2 linked regions of the Oryctolagus cuniculus genome follow. The protein of the gene in region 1 interacts with the protein of each later gene in a biochemical or structural test. Links are inferred from orthologs where the notes say so. Each region holds a gene or a part of one and is shown on either strand. Other genes may lie near its edges.

Region 1 (3,120 bases):
GCAGGACTCAGTATTGTATCGACTGTATGCTAATTGGGCTGGGAGCCAGACCTGGCAGTGCGCCAAGCTGTTAGCAGAGGCCAGGGCGGGTTTTTTGGTTTGTTTATTTCCGGGGCTCTCCGCACTTTTTTGGGATGAGCTTGGGCTGAACGTGGAAAAGGGCCGGCCGTGCGGGCCTGCGGGCCGCCTGCCCGCCTGCCTCACACCACCACGCCCCGCGCGCTCTCTGCAGCTGCTGTACTCATCGGTGGAGAACATTCAGCGTGTGGCCGCAGGTGTGCTGTGCGAGCTGGCCCAGGACAAGGAAGCCGCCGACGCCATTGACGCCGAGGGCGCTTCTGCCCCGCTCATGGAGCTGCTGCACTCCCGCAACGAGGGCACTGGTGAGGGGCTGTGCGGGGCAGGGGGGAGCGGGCTGTGTGGAGGCCCGAGTCTGACCCAGCCTGTCCCTGCCTGTCCACTCAGCCACCTACGCCGCTGCTGTCCTGTTCCGCATCTCTGAGGACAAGAATCCAGATTACCGGAAGCGCGTGTCCGTGGAGCTCACCAACTCGCTCTTCAAGCACGACCCGGCGGCCTGGGAGGCTGTGAGTACCCTGCGTTGAACTGCAGTGCGCGGTGGTGCAAGGCGACATTTGAGGGCTCCTAGCATGCTGTCAGCGTCATATTGTTAATTTTATAATTGGATCATTTATGGCAGTTCCTAGCACATGGAATTAGGTTGAACCATATATATCTTTACTATTTTTTTAAAGATTTATTTATTCATTTGAAAGGCAGAGTTAGAGAAGGAGAGTGTCCATCCACTGGTTCACTCTCCAAGTGGCCACAGTGGCCAGGAGTCTGGAACTCCATCCGGGTCTCCAACAGAAACCCAAGCACTTGGACCATCCTCCACTGCCTTCCCAGGCGTGTTAGCAGGGACTGAACCAGTGCCCATAGGGGATGCAAGCGCTGCAGGCGGTGGCTTAACCCACTGCGCCACACCACCGGCCCCCCAGATCTGTTTTGACCCACCAAAGTGGCCGTTTCATTCTGCCCAAAGGAAGAGCAAGTGTTTGGGGTGGCAGGCAGAAAGCCGAGGTGCTGTGTAGGTGTGAGGTCTCCGCCCCCACCATCCCGTGTTCCTCCAAGGGGGCCTCGCTCCCCTCCCCCAACTGAGGGCTGCCCAGGTGTGAGTCCTTAGCGCCGCCCCGCCCCTCTCGTTGCGCAGGCGCAGAGCATGATCCCCGTGAACGAGCCCTATGCGGATGGTAAGTACAAGTGGCCTCCCCAGGGCCTGGGACAGCCCGTGTCTGTGGCAGTCCACGTGTGCTCCAGCCTGGATCCCCTGGCATGGGAGTCTGGGGTGAGGTCAGGCCCCTGGCCGTGGGCAGGGGCACAGGAGGTGGCCCGCAGACCCCCACAGGGAGCCCCCTTCTCGTCCCCAGACATGGACGCCACCTACCGCCCCATGTACTCGAGTGATGTGCCCCTCGACCCGCTGGAGATGCACATGGACATGGACGGGGACTACCCCATCGACACCTACAGCGATGGCCTCAGGCCTCCCTACCCCACCGCCGACCACATGCTCGCCTAGCCGCCCCCGCCCCGGTACGGCCCCGCCCTCCCGGCCACCATGGCACCTGCCTTGCCGCGTCTCCACCCTCTTGCTGAAACCCTGGCTCCTGTGGGGGGAATGGGAGTGGGGTCAGGGGTGTTCCATGCCTCCCAGCCTCTTGTTCCAGGGGAGACCCCAGGCCCTTCTCGGGGAGGGGGCGGTGGGCAGGTGACACGGGAGTAGTGCGAGTTTCTGGGGGCACAGGTCTGCCAGGCTGCCTGACCCACTGTGTCTGCCTCCCCCCAGGTGCGGCTCCTCATCCGAGAGGCCCCCGTGCGGGCGATGGGGGAGACAGAAGTGCCTGAGCGGGGAGCCGGGGCTGCGCCTTGCTGCTGCGCCCGGGCCGCCGGAGTTCCTCCGCGGGGTCTTTCTTGGGATGGTGTCCTCTCGCTTTGCTGTCCTGGGCCCTGGCCACTGAAGCTTTACACGCAAGCCGCCCGCTCGGTACCCCCAGCAGCCCCTGGCCCACCTGTCTCCCGCTGCCCGAGTCCCGGCCTCCGGGCTTCGGTTCCTTCTCTGGGCCTGGTTTTTCTCACTGAACCCCACTGAGCAACTAAGGCCCCAGATCCCGAAATCCAAAGCTTCTCATGAAAAGTGCGGGGGTGAGGGGACGGAGACGGGGCATGGGAACCCCGCCGTGCCTCTCCAGCGGGCGGGGCTAGCTCTGGCCCACCCTGGGTGCTTGGGGGACAGCTCCTGCGCACTCCCCCGCACACAGCTGCCCCCTGCGGTGTGTAGTGAGGGGCTTTCTCTTCTCTTCTTGCTTCTGGCTCCTCCCACCCCCTGCACATGGGTGGGGGGGCTGCGGGAGTCCCAGTGGAGAGTTTTATTATCATCGCTTTATGTTTTTGGTTATTGGTTTTTTGTATAGACCAAAGCAAAGAAAATAAAAGTAACACAGATACGATGGGCCATCAAGGGGCATGGTTGGGGAGGCACGGGGCTCCCTGCCCCTCCACCCGCCGTGGTCTGTGGCTTGCTGTCCAAGCCCCTTGTGGGTCTGCAGTGGACCCACCCCGGGTCCTGCCCACTTCCCCTCTGATCCCCCACTGCCCACTCTGTCCTCCGCCATCCCAGGGACAGCCAGCACCGATCGCTGTGCCTGCTTCATCCACCCCACCGGACCCAGCTCAGACCTGACCTGGAAGCACTTGCTCTGTGGCCCCTGCTTTCCTGGCCACGCCCCGCTGGTGCTCGGCTGACCTCCCTCATCATGTCAGTCAGGCTCTCGGCTTACATGATGGCCACTCACAGTGCTCCTGGCAAACCTGAGAACAAGAGGCACCTGTGCCCCTGCTGGCCCCACCTGCCCAGTCTGGGGCCAGAGCACCCGATTAGGAGGTGGCCTAAGGTCCCCTGAGCGCTGCCTGCTGAGGCTGTGGGAGGGGACAGAGGACCGAGTTTCCAGAGCAGGCGGCCTTTTAACCATGCACTCTATACTCTGTGTCCAGAGCCGTGACTGGAAATACTCAAAGCTAGGAAATTTGAGACATTGGTCAAGGCACGGTTTGCAGAGC
Region 2 (3,816 bases), on another chromosome or scaffold:
TCCTTATTGGAAAAGGGCAAGCTATCGTTAGGAAAAAATTGGCATTTAAGTTGAAATCAATAGGGACACAGTCCCTTTAAAGAACTAGTAAAGTCACAATATCTGCGTAGATGGTTACCAGTATAAATGTTATCAAGGGGGGAATCTGGAGGGAAGCCAATAGCTGCTGCCCTGGGGTTGTTGATAATTGACCTTATACCTGTAGCTTGTGACTAGATCTTACTCAGCACTGGGAGAACTGGATTCACGTGGAGTTGGGGGGGGTGGTGGGGAGGGGGAAGGAAAGACAGAGAACGGATTTTTTTTCTTTAAAAAATTTATATGGCCGGCGCCGCGGCTCACTAGGCTAATTCTCCACCTTGCGGTGCCGGCACACCAGGTTCTAGTCCCGGTTGGGGCACCAGATTCTGTCCCGGTTGCCGTTCTTCCAGGCCAGCTCTCTGCTGTGGCCAGGGAGTGCAGTGGAGGATGGCCCAAGTGCTTGGGCCCTGCACCCCATGGGAGACCAGGATAAGTACCTGGCTCCTGCCATCGGATCAGCGCAGTGCTCCGGCCGCAGCATGGCAGCCGTGGCGGCCATTGGAGGGTGAACCAACAGCAAAGGAAGACCTTTCTCTCTGCCTCTCTCCCTCTCTCACTGTGCACTCTGCCTGTCAAAAAAAAAAAAAAAATTATTTATTTGAAAGGCAGATCAAAAAAAGAGAAAAAGATCTTTCATCATCTGGTTCATTTTCTGAATGTCCACAGTAACGTGATCTGAGCTAGGAACTCCCTTTGATCTTCCACATGGGTGGCCAGGTCCCAAGTACTTGGACTATGTTCCACTCCCTTCCCAGCAGCATTAGCAGGAAGCTGGTTCAGAAGTAGAGCAGCCAGGACTGGAACTGGCAGCACCTTAACTTGCTGCACCACAGTGCCATCTTCCCCCCTACCCCCCTTTTAAAGATTTATTTGTTTGTTTATTTGAAAGGCAAAGCAACAGAGAGAGAGAAAATAGAATGAGTTTTCATCCACTGGTTCACTCCCCAATTGGACACAACAGCCAAATCTGGTTCAGGCCAAAGCTAGGAGCCAGAACACTGTCTGGTCTTGTGCATAGATGACAGGGGCCCAAGTGCATGGAATGCTTTCAGTCTCCCAGCATGTCCATTAACAGGAGGCTGGGTCAGCGGCAGAATAGCCAGGACTCAAATTAGGTACTCCAGTAGGGACATGAACATCCCATCCCGTGTGGAAACTTAACTGCGTCAAATACCTTTCCTGTCTTAAACTTGGAGGACAGAGGTCAGTGTTATTTTTACTTTGTGGTAAAATAGTTCTTTTAATATCATGTAGCAGTTTTATATTTTGTGCATAAGAAAGTGAGAGAACTTACAGTTTTCTTGCAGTTTTCCTTTGATGATTATGTGAAGCATTTATAGGCTGACCTGTAGATATTTATAATAAGTATTATGGACATGGTAACATTTCTGTTCGCATTTGTGGTATGATACCTTGCCCAGCCCATTTGACTGGTGAGTATTGCTGCCACTATTTTCTTTTTGCAGTGACCTTCCACAGGCCAGCTTACATGGAATGGCCCTTCATCTGCCAAGAAGCATAACTTCCTTTCAGGCGTTGGGATCTTTGTTTTAAATCTTGATATTCCCAACCATTACTTTCTGTGCCTTCTTAAATAGTGGAAGGAACAGGGATGAGCACTAACATTTGGTGATGCTTCCTCCACAGAAACAAATTATTGTGGACCCCTTGAGCTTCAGTGAGGAGCGCTTTAGGCCTTCCTTGGAGGAGCGCCTGGAAAGCATCATTAGTGGGGCTGCCTTGATGGCCGACTCTTCCTGCACGCGTGATGACCGACGTGAGCGAATTGTGGCAGAATGCAATGCTGTTCGCCAGGCCCTCCAGGACCTGCTCTCGGAGTACATGGGCAACGTGAGTGTCTTTTCTTGAAGTAAGGTATTTGTCTCCAGAGTTCCACAACGTGTCTTTACCGTTACTGTGAGATATATCCGTCAGATAGGTTCTTGGCTCCTTGTCTATTGTGGTTGGAGCGTATTTCTCAAGGAATGGCTAAGTGGCTTTCTGAATTGTCCTTTTCTCTCCAGCTTTTTATTTTGAGGAACTTCACACATATACAAATCCTACAGTGCTCATGTATTTACCCTTCATGCACAGAATGTAGACATACTTGACTCGTAGATGCATCTCTGCATATGTGTGTAAATGCTTTCATGTGCATGTGAAGTGTACTTTTCTTCTCTGAAATGTTCGGAAGTGAGTTGCAGACACTGTGATACTTCACCTCTGTGTCTTTCAGTATGTGTCTTCCAAGGATGATGATCTTGGATACTATTAAAATTCCATTATCACAAATAGGTGCCCGAGCAGCTGATTTTGGGCAAAAGAGAATGCTGAATCCTTTTCTTGTTAATATTTATAATTTGTAACTTTTTAAATGAACCATACAGAATGTTTTAAGAGTAGATAATTGCCAAGTAGACCTCTATGAGGCAAACTGTGGGTAATGTTTGGGATTTTTTTTTTTTTTTTTTTTTTTTTTAAAAGACCTACAGAGAAAGGGAGAGAGAGATCTTCTATCTTTTGGTTCACTCCCGAGATGGCCACAGTGGTTAGGGCTGACTCAGACTGAAGGAAGGAGCTTCATCCTGGTCTCCCATGTAGGTCCCAAACGTTCGGCCAACTTCTGCTTTTCCCAGGCGATTAGCAGGGAAGCTGGAATAGCAGTGGAAAGCTGGGACAGGATTTGGTGCCCATATGGGATGCCAACATTGCAGTTGATAGCTTTACCCCCTGCGCCACAGTGCTGTCCTTGATGTTTTGAATTTTTTTAAAAAAAGTTATTTATTTGAGACGCAGAAAGAGAGAGAAAATGAGTGTTCCTGTTCACTGACTGATTCCCTAAATACAGACATCAGCTAGGGCTGGGCTGGACCAAAGTTGGGAGTCCGGTACTCAATCCACATCTGCCACATGAGTGAAAGGAGGTGAATTACCTGAGCCATCACTTTTGCCTCTGAGAGTCTGCATTAGCTGGAAGCTGGAATCAGTAGCCTGGACCAGGTATCAAACCCTAGACCCTCTGATATGAGATAGAGGATCATAATTGCTAGACTAAATTGTAATTGTAATTATTTTCTGTAGTCATGTTTTTTTTTTTTTCCCCCTTCCCTTATACATTCCCTTCTATTCCCGTTATTTAATGCTGGCTTACAGTTGTAGTAGTTTAGACTTTCTGTTCGGCATTTTACTGTTGAAAAGAAGGAATATATTAAATGAAAATTATATAAAGTAATTTTAAAGAAGTGAGGGACCATCTGAATTTTTTGTCATTACTAGTGGTTTTCTTTGCTAATTTAACACTTTTGAGGAAAAGATCTTAGTCCTTTTCTGGTTTGTTCACATCTTTGTTGTTTACTTACATGTGAAGAGATAATGGGGAGTCAGGATGGAATTCCTGCCGTGAAGATGAATGAGTGCCTTACTTTAGCTTCTTTGTACCATGTTGTGAAATTAGTGGAGCATATACAATTTGTTAAAGCCATTGCAATGTTTTGATCTTAGGCAACTTACCTCAGAAAAATGAGATTATAGGTTTAGTTAAATTGAATGGAAAAAGTCTTTGATAAGTCACAATGAGAATAAGGGACACATCAAAAAAATCTGTATTTAAGGTTGAACATGGGAAAATATTTAATTTTTTAAGTTGAGGAATGGTTCGCAATGTTGGTGTTTAAAACAGAAACCAAGACCTGTGGTGTGTGTGGTGCATTCCCCTACCATGGTGTAGCAGTGGCA

The links.
Region 2: the proteins of JUP (region 1) and CTNNA1 form a complex in vitro, tested with the Homo sapiens proteins (2 studies listed by BioGRID). The link is inferred for Oryctolagus cuniculus from reciprocal best matches to the Homo sapiens genes JUP and CTNNA1.

Annotation. Positions count from the first base shown.
Region 1 is NC_091448.1:20,947,617-20,950,736, forward strand, and holds the end of JUP (junction plakoglobin), read left to right. Parts: intron 1-232; coding exon 233-383; intron 384-465; coding exon 466-587; intron 588-1,213; coding exon 1,214-1,253; intron 1,254-1,430; coding exon 1,431-1,582; 3' UTR 1,583-1,596; intron 1,597-1,849; 3' UTR 1,850-2,507; downstream 2,508-3,120. UniProt on the Homo sapiens protein: Common junctional plaque protein. The membrane-associated plaques are architectural elements in an important strategic position to influence the arrangement and function of both the cytoskeleton and the cells within the tissue.
Region 2 is NC_091437.1:26,592,893-26,596,708, forward strand, and holds part of CTNNA1 (catenin alpha-1), read left to right. Parts: intron 1-1,728; coding exon 1,729-1,932; intron 1,933-3,816. UniProt on the Homo sapiens protein: Associates with the cytoplasmic domain of a variety of cadherins. The association of catenins to cadherins produces a complex which is linked to the actin filament network, and which seems to be of primary importance for cadherins cell-adhesion properties.